Linked DNA regions of Saccharomyces cerevisiae S288C. The protein of the gene in region 2 interacts with the protein of the main gene of each other region in a pairwise test. Each region holds a gene or a part of one and is shown on either strand. Other genes may lie near its edges.

Region 1 (4,105 bases), on a different chromosome or scaffold from region 2:
TCATGGTCCAGGCCAAATTGTTATTTACATTATTTTAGATTTGAAAACATTTCAAAGTTTCCCTGCTAAATGCTTGGTTTCATGCATTGAGCAGGCCACTATCAGAACGTTGAAGAATACCAAGATGTGCGACGACACTGACAAGCCTTTGAACTTAGATGCTATGACTACAAAGGACACTGGAGTTTGGGTTGAAAATGGCAAGAAGAAAGTTGCTAGTGTTGGAATACACGTCAGACGTTCCATAACATCGCACGGGGTAGCAATTAATGTTAATACAGATCTATCGTATATGAATAGTTTTGAAATGTGCGGTTTGAAAAATACACTGACTACTTCAATTATGGAACAACGACCCGATGCTGTTGTAAATGTGCAAAGTGTAGCAATTAGTTTTGTCAAAGAAATGACAAAGCTGCTAGGAATAAAAACTTTGGAAAGAATGCAAATTGACGACGTCAATATTTTGAAAAAGAATCCGTGAGACGGATGACTCCCCCCATACTTTCTTAAATGAAAGGATGCTTACCTTTTTTTACATGTGAATATCTATTACATATATACGTACGTATATAATAATCTCTGACGTGAAAAGCGGATCGTGTGTGTCTTGTATTTACGATGCTAGTTGGGGGAAAGGATCTTGAAGACAATAGCTATAATCCCGATGGAAATAGTTCCAAATGTTAATAGTGTGAAATGATTACATAGCGTGTTCTTGATGCTAAATTTGTCAGTACCCTTAGGATTCATGCCCGGGACGCCTCTAGTGTCATGTTCGGTAGTCTTTTTTTTAGATGCAGTTGAGAGTTCTTGTTCTTTCTGTTTGTTCTTCTTCATCATTTGTGAATTCTTATATCGTTCCACTTCTAACCTAGTTTTCAAGTCTTCTATTTCCCTTTCCATGCTTTTTTGCTTTTCATTATTTCTTCTTTTCTTCACTTCAAATGACTTTTTGAAAAACATATGGTCCCTTTCCAACTGTTTTACTTGATTTCTGTTTTGTTCGATAATCTTTTCGTATTTCCCCGACAGTTTCCTTCTTAATCCATTTTGCAGCTTTACCAGTTGCTGATCATTTTTTTCCACTAAAAGTTTGTTCGTGTATTCTAGATGTGTCGTATAATTAATTAAGAAATTCTCCATCGACTGTAATTTAAAATTATCGCATTTGGAAAATGGAATTTCCATTGCCAGGGTTTTGATGATATTAGATAAAGTCGGGCTCGTACCAATACAATTATTAATAAAAATTCCACTCAGTATTTCTGTATCAGAGCCCAGGATAACTTCTTCCAATTCTAGGTTGTTGGAATCACCATATATGTGACTTGTTATGGCAGCAGCCTCCTCTTTTTCTGTAATTGTATGGCAATCATCACTATCTTCATTTTCAAAAATCGGTGATTCTAATAAAGGTTGTACAAATAGTTCTTCAACTGTGGCACTTATTTTTCGATGCTCAATTTTCGTATCTATATCTGTTCCCAAGTCTATCACATCGCCAACTTTGATTTCTACGTCATTTGAGCCAATTCTTTGACCGTTAATGAACGTACCATTACTGGATTTTAAGTCTCGTATATATACCTTACCCGTGAGCGGGTCGCAACTTAACAATGCATGATTCCTGGAGAGTACTCTTGAATCGAAATTACCATTATCGGACCTTACTTGGGAAAAAGTGTGTGAATCCACTCTTTTACCGCCCCTGAGCGATGAACTGGAGCTGCTATTACTATTAGCAACAGGCCTTCCCAATTTCAAACCATCTGGTTTAAATGGTATCACCACATGTTTGCTCTCAAAAGTTCCATTTAGTGATGTGAGGACTAGAATGTAAGTATATTTTCTCCTTGGTGTTCTTGATATGCTATGTGGAAAATAGCTTTTTGTTGGGTCGGCTATTCTCTTGTCATACTTTTCAATTGGCCTCTTCGATGAATTCGTAGATCCATCAATTAGATTTGCATTCTTGGGTATACTATTATATGTTATCTGTTTCTTGCCCGGAGAACTGGGGTGCTCCTCCTTATTTATTTCAGGTCCAGGACCAGTCATTGGATTCGATTATATCTATAGCTTCCAATATAACCAACGACAGGCTCCTTGTGAGGGTTACTTTGTCACTCTTGCCTTAATTTTGTGTTCACGTAGTGCTTGTGACTTTCAAGAACAAATTTTTAATTATGTTCCGTTATGGTAAACAAGTGAAATTTCAAAAGTTGAGCACCACGATTACGGAATAACAACAAATAACGAAGGTTGAAGAAATTAGATAATAGATGAGAAAAAAAGAACACCAGAGAGAGAACAGGTGCTTTCTAAAAGATTTCAATTCAGGGCGAATAATAGTAGTCCTTACCCCTTAATATATTGGAATATAATAGGACTAGTTAGACGCTGGCAATAAGATTGGTTTATTGTTCTTTTTTTTACGACTGTAACAAAGCTACGTTATTTTTTGTTTTTCTTTTTTTTTAATTTATTTGGTATTATATATCTAGTGTATATGTTATTATTAGGAAAGAGCTGTTATTTAATATTAAGTGTGAACGAAGGAAAATTTCGTAGGTAAAAAAATTAGTGCAGAGAGCCATTAAATGAAAGGGAAATTTTATTCTTAATTATTTTTTGCAATTTTATTTCCCACTAAGCAGCTTTTTCACTGGCGGTGGAGGATTGCTTTTCATTATTCTTATGATGAACTATTTCAAACTCATTGGTGTTTTCAGAGCTAGTTTTGACCAACTCAGGTATTTCATCGTCGGAGCCTTCAGGTCTGTACTCGTGGCCGGTAGTGTAACCTTCGCCTAATGTGTAAGCGCGGATTTCTTCTTCAGAAATTTCACTGTATGGAACCATGCCCTTCTTTCTTGCTTCTTCGTCAGTAAAGGCACCATAATAATCTTTGTCATCATGTTTGACAGTAATTTTGAATGGGAAGAGGAGGCATAGTCCCCAATAGACGAAAAAGGAGATCAAAAACGAGAAGAAGGAGTCACCGTAAAAGAAATTGACAATACCAGTGTTGTGGAAATAGTCATTATTGACTTCCCAAGCAATACCAGGTAGACCGGGGGTCATACCACAAACCCAGGCAACAATAGCTCTCCAGTTAACACCCTTAGTGAAATAGTATTCACCCTTGAGAATAAAGGCATTAGTGATGGAGTATTGTCTTTTTCTGATCAAGAAGTTATCGCAAATCATGACAGAAATGATAGGAGTCATGACAACACCGAAAGAACTCATGACAGTCAAGAAAGTAGAAGAAGAGTTGTAGAAGTTCCATGGCAAACAAGCCCAGGAGACACATGCGGCAAAAAGGGCACCCCTCTTGATGTCGACATACTTGGGTAATAAACCGGCCAAATCCATACCACTGGCAAACCCACAGTTGGAGATGGTGTAGGACATTTGAGATAGGACAAATGAAAGACCACAGAAGAACGCACCGGCACGAGCACCTGCAGAATAGTTAGTTGTCAACCAATGGTTGAAGATATCCATAGGCATCCAATATTGTTCACCGTATAGTTTGTCACAGGTGGAGGCACCAATAACACCAAAAACTGGGATTAAAGTGGTTGGAATTAACAATGCACAGATGGTACCGGCCCAGATAGCCCAATTGGAGGAACCAAATCTCGAGTAATCACTTTGGTTGGTGGAACCTGGAGAAACGGAACCGAACCAGTACGAGATCATATAAACCCAAGCCCAAGCTTTGGTGGAGCCAGTGGCAGTGGATTTAGTGGAGGTAAACAATTCTCCAACACCGTGAGCCTGTTTAGCTAAATAGATCACCATACCCAACATAGAGAAAAATGTAGCAACACACGACCAAATTAAAATGTAGTTCATGTGGTAGGGTTTCATTAAGTAACAGAATGCAGTAAGGACGTGGAAGATGATAAAACCAATTAATTCTTTAGTGGTCATGGCAACTTTCGAAGATAAGGTGTTTGGCAGGTGCAAATAATGGTGAGACCATGAATCCAAGATCATATTGATACAAAGACCTCCCACCCAAGCGTTGGACCCGTAGTTGACAATACTCATCAAAATTCTGATGATGATACCGAAGGCAGAACCGTAAATA
Region 2 (3,362 bases):
GCATATAATTTTGGCATCAACAAATTATATCAAGGAGAATACTACCGAAGAAATTCGTTTCCCTATTGTAAAGATCGCACACACGACAACATTTATGAAGATCTTTCAGAGCTGAAGGAAAAGTCATCTCGTTTGTATAGATGCAACTCTTCTTCTGCTGTACAGAATATTGTGGAAAAATGGGATTTACCATTTGATCCATCTGTTGTTCGAATAGCTAGAGATTTGTTACGAATGAAATACGACATCCAAGCGCAGCAACACATACAAGAAATGGATGAGCATTATATGGGTAAATTAAATAAGGAGGGAACTGTTGGTCAGTACTCTAAATTCAACGAAAGATATAAAAGACTGCAAGAACTATATAAGAAGTATTCAGATGGTGCAAAAGTGTTTGAAGGGAGATTTGAAGACATTGACAATAAGCAACAACTTCTTCTCCATGAGATGCAAGAGTTAAATTCCTTATCATCTAGGTTGAAATATGATATGAGGATATTGGAAGTTCGTGTACGAGATATTGAAAGTAGTGTTGCTCAGTTTGATTCCAAATTAATTGGGTTGAAAAGCTCTCTTCAGGGACAGGGTAAAACTGGAATATGCTCTGCAATAGATCCCAAGAGTGATAAAGACGAATATGATAGATGCGTAAATGATTTGATGACCACTAACAACCCCACCTATGAAGCTCTTTGTTTAAAGATGCTGAGCCGCCGTTATTTTAAAGATTTAAAGAATGATACTGTGGGGTGGTTCAGGTGGTTATTTGGTAATAATTCTTTACACAATAATGCCAGTGAAGACGATAGAGGAATACGAGTATGATTTTTTTCGGTTCATCCTAATTTTTTTTTTTTTTCAAAAGGGATCTAAACATTTATCCGTTGTTATAAGTATATTAAAATATATAAATGCATTCAAAGGTTTGCTATTTCACGTCTGCTTACACTTTTGTTCGATCCATCGTAGGCTATTTCAGTACCTGGTACGTGTCTTGCAGGTATTCCAACTGTTTTTTAAAGCGGCTGTAATCTCTGGAATCTTTAGATATACGATCCCAATCCACTTCCTTCAAAAGTTTTTCAAACTGTTTGATAATTGAATGCAATTTTTTTTTTGTTTCTTCATTTTCTGTCTTCAATGACTCGTAATTTTGTTGAAGACTTTTGTTCCTTTCATCAAGCTTCTCTGATGAAAATGTGGCAATATTTCGTTCTCTTATTGCATTCTGTTCGTCGATAAAATTTTTAATATATGAGAAATGCTCATTTATGTTGTTAATTAGCGCAACAGCCTTTGTATTGAAGTACTCTTGTTTTTCAATCTCGTATATGAGTTTAAAATTTTCGCTGATAAGCTTCTGTGCCTCAGTGGGGGGAGATGCTTTTTGAGATGCATTATCTTTCCATGAATCTGGAATTATGTTTTTGCTCAAATTATCATAAGATATTCCTGACTGTTTGGCAAGGCGCTTTAACAATAGTTCTATTCGATCGGTCTCTTGTCTGTTAGCCCGACACTCTGCACTTAAAGCTTTTGTTAATTGAAGAAGATAATCGAAACTATCACTACCACCGCTATTCATATTTGCAAATCACTATATATACTGCTCTGTGCGAACTTATGATGGAAAAAACGAGCAAGAAGTAATAAATCACGGTTTAACTTTCTTCATTAATCGCCGAATGCTAGCCGGAGCTTTGAATGAACCTTTTATTGTGGTTATATTGTTATACAGGTGTCAATATAAACAATAAAAGTTGAAGCGGTGGCTCAATGGTAGAGCTTTCGACTCCAATTAAATCTTGGAAATTCCACGGAATAAGATTGCAATCGAAGGGTTGCAGGTTCAATTCCTGTCCGTTTCAATTTATTTTTTAGCCCTGTGCTTGAGATTATCGTCGACAATGACCAGCTATAAGCTGGCAAGATTGATGCTCTAAAACGCGGGGAATAAAATAATCAAGATGATTAATTGTTGGGATTCCATTGTTGTTAGAGCCTACAATATTAGGTACACAGAATATACTAGAACTTCTTCTCGAGGATGTAGGAATCGTCAAAAGGGAATCGATAGTTTTACGTAACGATATTACTTTATGTTCTTTCTGTTGGAATGAAGCTATAAAATATCATCTGTTCAGTAGTATTCATGCCACTCGTACATTATCATATACAGTGTAAGAAGATGATCTAAACATTGAGAAACAGTCGTAAAATTTAATGGAAGCAGAAATATAAGGATTGATAATGTACTAGGATAATGAAACATACGAAAGGGAGGGAGAAATAATTGTAATTGTATTATATAGGAGTATCGATTCCAATTTGAGGATTGGTATATCTCTCAGGGGAAATTTTATTATATTCTGTACACATAATAAAATAAAGCCCTTGCGAACAATAGAATCCCAACGGTTATCAAATTATTCACAAATTGATCACTTCCTTTTTATACTTTCCCTCTCGCTTCTTATTACATTATCAATCATTGCATTTCAGCTTCCCCTAAATCTGGTGACTGTTTCTCAATCTTTAGATCACCTTCTGTTGGAATAAAAATCCACTATCGTCTATCAACTAATAGTTATATTATCAATATATTATCATATACGGTGTTAAGATGATGACATAAGTTATGAGAAGCTGTCATCGATGTTAGAGGAAGCTGAAACGCAAGGATTGATAATGTAATAGGATCAATGAATATAAACATATAAAACGGAATGAGGAATAATCGTAATATTAGTATGTAGAAATATAGATTCCATTTTGAGGATTCCTATATCCTCGAGGAGAACTTCTAGTATATTCTGTATACCTAATATTATAGCCTTTATCAACAATGGAATCCCAACAATTATCTAATTACCCACATATATCTCATGGTAGCGCCTGTGCTTCGGTTACTTCTAAGGAAGTCCACACAAATCAAGATCCGTTAGACGTTTCAGCTTCCAAAATTCAAGAATATGATAAGGCTTCCACTAAGGCTAACTCTCAACAGACAACAACACCTGCTTCATCAGCTGTTCCAGAGAACCCCCATCATGCCTCTCCTCAACCTGCTTCAGTACCACCTCCACAGAATGGGCCGTACCCACAGCAGTGCATGATGACCCAAAACCAAGCCAATCCATCTGGTTGGTCATTTTACGGACACCCATCTATGATTCCGTATACACCTTATCAAATGTCGCCTATGTACTTTCCACCTGGGCCACAATCACAGTTTCCGCAGTATCCATCATCAGTTGGAACGCCTCTGAGCACTCCATCACCTGAGTCAGGTAATACATTTACTGATTCATCCTCAGCGGACTCTGATATGACATCCACTAAAAAATATGTCAGACCAC
Region 3 (5,487 bases), on a different chromosome or scaffold from region 2:
TGCCGATGTCGTAGCTAATAATGTATATGATACGTATTTTAGGATATCTTCCTCGGGTATAGTGTTCACATAATAAGGATTTGACAACTGTCTCAAAGTAACAGAACTGTAGGTTGAAGAGGGAACGTAACGATTAGGCGAAGATACCATGGACCTTCTTTCAGAAAATCGGTCCATGTTTTCAAATGAAGCTTCTGTATATATACTTGGAGCCCGCACTGGGCTAAGTAAATGTTCATGGTTAGCAAGGTTCTCCATATTGAGCCCAGATGATTTTTGGACAATTTTTGCTCTGTAATTTGATGGAAGCAAAGATTGAAAGACAGAGAGGTACTTTACCATATCATCGGTGTTCTGGATTCCAAATAAAGCATCGAGAAATTTCTCAATTTTATGCCACATAATTGTTGTTTCAGGCGAATCTAGTGATTGTAATTTGTAAAAATCAATTAAAGGGCCTAATTGAGTTGCCGATTTGGTGGATGATCGCAGTAAATTGACTACATCAGATACAAATGTCTGCAAATGACTCTGCGACAATAATTGAGGAGCCAATGCCTCTATTATACCAAAAAGAGTGGGCTCTAGTTCCATATTGATTTTTCAGCTACAACTGAAATAGACTGTAATATATATTATGGTTATGCTTAGTATTCTGGCTCTTCTATTTCTTATATGCAGATGAAGCCATCAAATGAGTATATTTGTTTGTTTTGTTTAGTTTTGTTTACAAACGCGACGCATCAAAAATCGTTACCCGTATATATTATGATAATAGAAATCCAACAACGGTTGTCCTAGTATCCCACTTGTGATATGAAGATCCAATCATCACCATTGCGCGATCAAATAAACACTATTTAAGGGGTTTTCATGCTCCTCCATTGAAAACTATATAAACATAGGGAGGGATAGGAGATTGTTAATGACAATAACATCGCGCCCCGAGCCTCGGTATCCGTAAGTAGAGATTTAAATATTCAAATACTCGGATTCCTTGTTTAACAGATCTTGGCTGGAACTATTACGGTGTCCATATCCAAGGTCCTCCATAGATATTTCATAGTGTTGAAAATTGTAAAATTGAAGCAAGGCCCGGAGTGCAATTTCTTGACCACAAGCATCGCTCAACTCTCCTGATATATCCTTCCCTGTTACCCAATTATCAGTTAACTCCAGCTTTTCATAAAGGTAAACCCCCGATATCAATTCCATATGCTCGGATTTCCACCTCTTGTTTTTGAATGGTGTGAGTTCTCTTGTTATTTTCAATATTGGATGATACATGTCAAGGTTGAAGAGCCGATAATAGCGTTTAAATAGAATGCCGATGGAGAGGGGCAGCTCCTTTAACCTTTGTGTTTTATTCCCTGTGACTTTTCTCAAGATTCTTAACAGATATGCAAACGAAGGCATAATCTCCGTGTCGACCTCTCCTGAGTCATCTACTGAATAGGATTCACGATAAGACTCGTTAGAGAGAGAACACTCCTTCCAAAATGAATTCGGGGTTTGTACATATTTATTGAAAACCCTCTCTGGATAAACCTCAGAATATTTGCTTAAAATAGATGCGCATGTGTTGATGTATCGCGAATCGTGAATAACTACCGCCAAGTGTTCAAATTTCAAAATATGGCTTAACTTAAACCACTTCAATAACGCATGTAATATGCCCGCTGCTGACTTTAGGGACAATTCCTTAGCTCTCACGATCTCCAATTGGGGTGTCAGCATATTTAGAAGATTTTTATCGGAGACTTCACTTTTCCTATGAAAGTTATTTGTCAAGCTTGATTCCATTGTTTGCAGTAAGACAAAAACAAGAGAGTTAAAGCTCGAAAGGCAGCTCTTATAATATTTGTCAATTCGCTGCATAATGCAAATCGCACTTTTTTCCTCTTTTGAAGAGTTTGCATCATGATTAAGCGCGGCATAATCATATGGCTCATTTTCTAATTGCTGTTTCCAACCACGTTCAGTTATCATGAATAAGTCCCTTTCGTACCAAAGTTGTTTTGTACTCAGCTTAATTTCTAAACTCTCGCTTAATATTCTCGCTGCCTCTTCGGTACTGAATGGAATAACTATATCGTTATCAGGTTTTCTCTCTATATTTAAATCTATCCTATCTTCCAGAGTGTCATCTTCAGATCCTTCATTATCAGATGGATACAAACACGGATATGCCATGTTTGTTTGGAAAGATTTACGAGGTCTAGGACCTTCACCTAAATGCATTAATTGTGGAGAGCTTGGCGGTGAAGGAGCAGGTGTAGCAATATGTTTTTCAGGAACAATGAGCGCCATATTTAGAGGATTCTTTGATTTTGGACGAGGAATTTCCAGAAACTGGGAAAGAGATTCTGATTTGTCAACATCTTTAGGTAAGCCAGAACTGGGCATATTGTAATCAGGAAAACGGGAAGTAATGTCCTCCCTGAATGCTTGATAATGTAATGGGGAGATAGAAAGCTTTTCTGGATGCTTTGATGGATATGTTAAGCCATGGAGATTATAAATAGATGATTTGGTCTGTTTGTAGACAGAACTGTCACCAAATTGTAATACAATAAGCTTGAAGAGCAAAGAAATCATATTTCTTATGCGCATAGCTAATCTGCTATTCCACCTCCAATTTTCAATATACTTTGTTAAAAATTCCAACAAATCTGTTTTCTCAAAAGCGTCGATAACAACATTTACTGCTTCCGGATTTTCTCCTCTACCTTCTATACAAATACTGCATATGAAGTATAGGATTGTTGACGAATGAAATAGCAAAATTGTTTGTTTCTTTAAATTTCTGTTGTCATCCCTACAACTTATTGCAATCTTCTTGAAGGCATGAACAATTTCTTGAATATGAGGAACAAGCATTAAATTGTTGCGTCGTATAATCTTTGTATGCTCACTTTTGCTATTCGTAAACGCAAAGCATCCCATAGAAATATATGATAATGCGAGTAAATTAGATGCTAAAGAATTGGGGATGTCTTCAATTAAACATTCAACTACGCTCGCAGCATAGTTTTCATCATCAAAGAATAATTGTGGTTGCGTAATTTTCTGTTTAAACAGAGTCTGTGTCTGTCCAAAATGCATATAATCAGAGCTGCAAAACCATTCCGACAGTTCATCTTCCAAAGAATAAAACATCTTCAATTCCCAGTCCACTGCTCTTTGTAAAGCATAAGGTGCACTTGATCTTTCCTCAAGTGAAGCTGCGCACTGGTCAAGTGATTTCTGAAATTCTTTATCTACCGGCATATTATAATCAACTTCGCCCTTTTCATTGATAGGAACATGCTTGCCATCAGAAACCTTATTCAAATCAAAGCCATCCAGTTCATCTACATTAGCAAATGATTCATCCTCATTCTCCTCTTCAGCTTCTTCAGCATCGTCTTGAAATTCAACGGCGTTATCAGTATTATTATCTTTCTCATTATTTCTATCCTTATTAACGCCATCATCACTGAACTTAAAATTATCATTTTCATCACTACTATCTTGCTGTATATCTATGGTACGAATATCTCCCTCAAGACCTGATCTTGCCTTGAAGGTTAAGGCACTGATATTTCCATCTGATTTATTTCTTTTATCGGCATGAAAACTGTTTCTTCCCATGTTCAGTTTACCGCGCAACATGTTGTCCAAATCTTTTAGCAGTTCTTCGTTGCTCAATGTTCCGACCTGTGGTTCTTTATGTGAAGTGACTTCATCTTTGTACTTTAGATTGCCTTTGAAACTAGAGTTTCTCTTAAGATCTTCTAAAGACACAGACCTTATAATGGGGCCTTTGGAATGAGATCTTCCACTAGCATTCATTTTAGCGAGGCTTATAAATGAAAATTTGTCACTTAACCTTCTTCTTCGGCTATAAATACTAATAAAATTTCTCTACAATGCCTTTCAACCTACTCCTTGGTTCTCATATATTTCTTCCTGTTTCTAGAATGGCGTTTTGATTCATATAATTGACCGCTCCAAAAAATACCTGCCAGTAAATTAAAGTACCATACAAGAATATTGAAGAAAAGGAAAAGAATACATAATATAGAAAAAAGCCTACCAAAACAAACCAATTCACAATAAATATAACACTTTTAACTAAGTTTAACGAATGAATGGATTTGACGAAATGCATAAACCTATATAATTTCCCATTCCAATTTCAGTGCCTGAAATAATTTCAAGCCGTGAGTGCTGAGCTCCCCAAAACCGTCCAGCTCTTGCCAGCTTATGGTTGTCCCAAGCATTTCGTCTCTCTTTAACCTCTCTACTTGAAAGTAATCTGGCGAAGAATCGTCTTTAATTATGTGCATCAAAGTCTCAAGGTATATATTCAGCCAACAGCTGGCGCATGAAGTCCAAGATATTATGCTACTGGCGGCTTTGGACTTGCTGGTCCCCAGGGTAAATTCTATACGACAATCATTTTCCAGTGTTAAGTAGTCCCTACCAAAAATGAAGGTCATATTACCACCGCATTCATGCGCCATGATATCTGAATATACTACTTTTCGGGTTAGGAGGGCATTTCTATCATCGTTGTAGTGTTGAATCTTAGTAGTTACAATAGCAGACTCGGAAGTGATTAAGCTTGATGGGCGGAGGAACGTCATTTTAGCAAGCCTGAATTTAAATTTGAATTTTACCGCCTCATTAGAAATTCCTTCTTGGGCTGCTTTTTCATGGGTAATAAAAAACTCATGGTACCTTAAGTATCTTAATTGAGAGGGTATGGTGACGCCATTCGTCATACCATACTTGAATCTAGCCTGCATGAATATCAATCTTGCTTCTCCAAGAGGACACTGCAAGTATTTCATGAGGTATGCTACTGTTATCATACCAGATCGGCCTTTCCCCATTCGACAATGTAAAACAGCCACTCTATTCTTCGAAACGGACAGGTAATTTTCTATACCATCTACAATCTCTTCCAGCAGTTCAAATGGCGGTGGAAAATGATCTAGCCAACCGATCCTTTCACAAATTACATTATTGGTTTCTTCTTCGACCAAGGTCCTTGTTTCGAGATCAATGGGTGATATTGGTATCTTTCCATCATTAATCAGCGTCGAACGTAATTCTTGAATTTCAAAATCTTTGCTCTCAAACTTGGCAGCGATACCAATAAGATCATTATCTTTATAATCGCTGTCTTCTTTCTCACCTCTAAAATTAAAAATTCTAAAATTTCCCTTGCCATGGTACACTGTTAGAAACAATATTAAGTCATCCAAGCTATTCCTATAAAGCAGTTTTGGATACGTGTTTACCGGGTATGAGCAGACTATTAGATTAACTAAAATATATGATATATCTAATCTCAAACCTATATCGTTTTTAGTTTTTTTCATTGGTAAAGACAATATTTTCTTCATCAAGTTGACTGGTTTCCATTTAAGGAAGCCTTTTTCCATTTCTAATTCACTCCCCTCCTCTCTCATTTACACCAAAAAAATAATTTCAAAA
Region 4 (3,618 bases), on a different chromosome or scaffold from region 2:
GCCAAATAGTCAAGTATTATAGCCTTGATCAATAATGGGATCCAATAATTATTAAACTATTCACCCAATCTTCACAGATCTTCTAGTCAACGAGGGAAAATCCATATTTCTAAATAGTATTATTTATCCTTGCACTTCAACTTCCATTGAAGCTGATGATTGTTTCTTAATTTTCATGTTATCTTCTGGCAGCGTATATGAGATTATACTAATTATATGAAAATATATTAATAGTATAGATACTAATCGGTAAACGATAATCGACTCTCATCACAACAAAATGCTTTTGCAAATATTGAGGAAATTATATATGTTTATTAAACATATATATCCTGTGTATTTATAGAGGCTTTCCTCCAACATTTTATTATTTTTGGCAAATAATACAGTAGCTTAGGATATCTTACGCACGCAACTGCAGGAAAAGAACGTCAAGACATTCTGTGAGTTGTTTTCCCGCAAAATGTTCCACCGTCGTTACTTTTTCAATTTCATAAACATATATCAGAATGGAAAAAGCCTTCATAAATGAGCTTCGAATTTTTGCGCAATCTCGAATATAAGAAGCATGTATATTTGTCATCTTGCTTTCATTGGAAGCAAAAGGGCAAAGTTTCAATCTTGTGCATGTAACCTCAGTAGTAATCTATAAGTGTGAGATATATCTGTCAATTTTTGCAGACCATTAACATTTTCCAAATACATCTTGAACTCTTCATCTTCGAGGGGAATTGTCTCCGTCTGGAATTTCTGCCTAATCAATTTGATAGTCTCTTTATGATGCATTAGAATGTTTCCTCTTAATTGGGCGACAATGTAATTTAAAGAGTCTTCGGAGTAAGACAATAAATCCATGGATTCAAGGGTTACCTGCTTGGATTCCTGTAAACTTTTCCGGAGCATTGAATTTTGGCGCTTCAACACTCCTAGCATAACGTCATCTTTCGCATTTTCATCCAGATTGTTGCTTAGTTGCTCTTTCTCAGTAATAGGAGCTTTCCCTCTTTGTTCTAGAAATCTATTAAATAATGCAATATTTTCCGTGGTATCGTGAGGTTCTTCAGATGTCTCATACTTGTTTAAGCTTCCGGATAATATGTCTATGTTCCTTAGTATTTTCGCCTTTTCTGCTTGATTTTCCCTCAACTGTTTCACTAGCTTGTTAACTAACAAGTACATATGATTCAAGTTTTCTGCTTGAGGAGACATATATACTTGCTGCTGCTGCTGCTGCTGCTGTTGTTGTTGTTGCATTGACAAAACGTTGATTTGGTCACTCATATCTAAACCTTGGCTTGAACTTCTTGTAGAATCAATATGTATTACTTCCCATATATGTCGTAATAAAGGGCACCTCTGCAGAGTTCATAAAGAATGCCGTTTTTGCTTGCGCGCCTTAATTATCTGTATTCAGTTCGATTTTACAAAAATATATACAAGGTTCCGCCTAACCTTCTAGTCGTTGCGGATATGGACGATATTATCTACCTTAATTAAATGATTATCTATATCCCTGCCATTCAACAAATCATTGCTGCGAAACTTCTCTCGTCCTTCTGCAATAGTCGTGACTAACCCTGATTGCAAATGCCTTTTGGCCACCCTTTCTTCGGTGGCCTCATAGTCTATGTCAATCTTATAAACAAGAAGTGCTCCCGTATCAGCTAATGTTTTGTAAATTTTCTTCCAGTTTTCTTGGTCATACAGTAGGTATAACCCTTCAAGTATAACTATCCTTGTAAATTTGGAAATACAGTACTGATCTGGAGTTGGGTCTTTTAGTGCATGGTTAAATCCTGGAACAAAGATATCAGGAATTGTTTGGCTAAAAGTTTTGGATAACTTCTCAAAAACGCTTGAAGTGGAGTAAAATTTATGATGTGAGGAGACCTTACATAGGGACGTCTTGGCTAGAATTTTACACAATTGTAAGAAATTGTTACTGTCAAACGTTGAGGGCGAACCTCTTCTTTTATGGGCAGTTTGTGGGTCTTTGAATAGGTCTAGACATCTGCGAGATAAGTGAAAACCATCCATTGGGACTATTTGCGCTATATTGATACTATCCTGGGCCAACTTGTTAACATTGACTGGATTATCAACTGCTGCGATTCTTATGGCATTCGCAGTACCACCTCTGGCAACTACTGCGGTACATTCTTCATTATTTGATGTAAGGGCTGAGTACTTGACTGGTTGAAAATTAACATCCTCAACATGATCTTTAAACAGCCCCTGATTTTCAATCATTTCAGCTACTTTATTGGGCTGGAGCGTCTTTAAAGAGTCTACTAGGTTAACCATAGGTTTCAACCTATCATTAACCTCAATAACATTTGGATGCTCTGACAAAAATGTGTGATATTTTTCATTTATAATTTGACAAAGTTCTTCCGCAATAGTAGACTTACCGGAGCCTGGAGAACCGACTAGGATAACACAAACCCTATAATTATCTTCGATACGGTTATCCAATAGCTGAAGAACGTCGTCTGCTAGTTTATGCGTATCGACCATTGTGGCTAGAATGATCCTCTGGTATGATACAGGATAAAATATGTATAGTACTAGTGAAATTAACCTAACAAGGTTACTTCATTTTTCCCGAAGAGCAATACTTGATGATGCTTAAAGGTACGCATTTAATGAACGAAAAATAACACAGTTCGTTTGAGTAAAAAGAAAGCTCACAAAATTTAATACAGAAAAAAAATTATATGTAAACTGTGGACAAGTCTGATAAGCCCAGATAACCCTTCTATTTCACGAAGGTGCAAGTGCGATTGAAAAGAATTGTTTCATGGCATTAGCTATCAGGACACGAATGCATAATCGTCAAGATATTATCGGTATGCAGCAGTTGAAGTTGTTATTAATGTTATAAGGCACCATCATATGTGGCTTTGGGATGATCTTCCGCCGATTGGTGTTCATATTACAAAAATTTTATCACGCTCGAGGTTAGAAGATGGCATCAATTATGAGGCATGAATAACAAGGTTTAAGCACTAGTAATCATAGCGGATGCTGAAACGCCAAGGTTAATGAGTTCATAAGATTAACGAATAACGAGAACTTAGGTATGAGTCAAAATTTTACTTTCATAATAGATTTATCGAAAATGTGATCAATTTTCTGAATAATTTGATAACTGTTGGGATTGCATTGTTGATCAAGACCATAATATTATGTACACAGAATATGCTAGAAGTCTCCTCGAGGATGTAGGAATCCTCAAAATGGAATCGGTAGTTCTACATAATAATATTACGATTATTCCCCATTCCGTTTTATATGTTTCATTATGCTATTACATTATCAATCTTGCATTTCAGCTTCCATTAGGGTTGATAACTGTTTCTCAACTTTTATGTCATCTTCCTGAACCGCATATGATAATATGCCAATAACATGAATATTACCAAATGGATGGCATTTCAAATTATTACTTTAACAAAAAGGAACCAAATAACTCATATAATAATTACCTATTTCTCAAATAGGTGGACGACGGTTTATCCAATTCCAACAATAATAGTAATTACTAATATTATGTAGATTTTTCGATCCAAGTCCTCGAGGGCGACTCATAGGAATGCTATCTTCAATCAACAATGA

Evidence for each region.
Region 1: the proteins of FAR3 (region 2) and FAR10 interact in a two-hybrid assay, tested with the Saccharomyces cerevisiae proteins (2 studies listed by BioGRID).
Region 3: the proteins of FAR3 (region 2) and FAR11 interact in binary tests that used the Saccharomyces cerevisiae proteins (3 or more experiments, as listed by UniProt).
Region 4: the proteins of FAR3 (region 2) and FAR7 interact in binary tests that used the Saccharomyces cerevisiae proteins (3 or more experiments, as listed by UniProt).

What each region holds. Positions count from the first base shown.
Region 1 is NC_001144.5:612,711-616,815, reverse strand, and holds FAR10 (Far10p), read right to left. Parts: upstream 2,062-4,105; coding exon 625-2,061; downstream 1-624. Other genes in the region: lipoyl(octanoyl) transferase LIP2, read left to right, coding at 1-484; thiamine transporter THI7, read right to left, coding at 2,653-4,105.
Region 2 is NC_001145.3:377,812-381,173, reverse strand, and holds FAR3 (Far3p), read right to left. Parts: upstream 1,589-3,362; coding exon 974-1,588; downstream 1-973. Other genes in the region: STB2 (Stb2p), read left to right, coding at 1-828; YMR051C (gag protein), read left to right, coding at 2,849-3,362. UniProt on the Saccharomyces cerevisiae protein: Participates in the control of the reentry into the cell cycle following pheromone treatment.
Region 3 is NC_001146.8:382,334-387,820, reverse strand, and holds FAR11 (Far11p), read right to left. Parts: upstream 3,835-5,487; coding exon 973-3,834; downstream 1-972. Other genes in the region: SPC98 (Spc98p), read right to left, coding at 1-594; TEP1 (putative phosphatidylinositol-3,4,5-trisphosphate 3-phosphatase), read right to left, coding at 4,158-5,462. UniProt on the Saccharomyces cerevisiae protein: Participates in the control of the reentry into the cell cycle following pheromone treatment.
Region 4 is NC_001138.5:158,198-161,815, reverse strand, and holds FAR7 (Far7p), read right to left. Parts: upstream 1,282-3,618; coding exon 616-1,281; downstream 1-615. Other genes in the region: YFH7 (Yfh7p), read right to left, coding at 1,456-2,517. UniProt on the Saccharomyces cerevisiae protein: Participates in the control of the reentry into the cell cycle following pheromone treatment.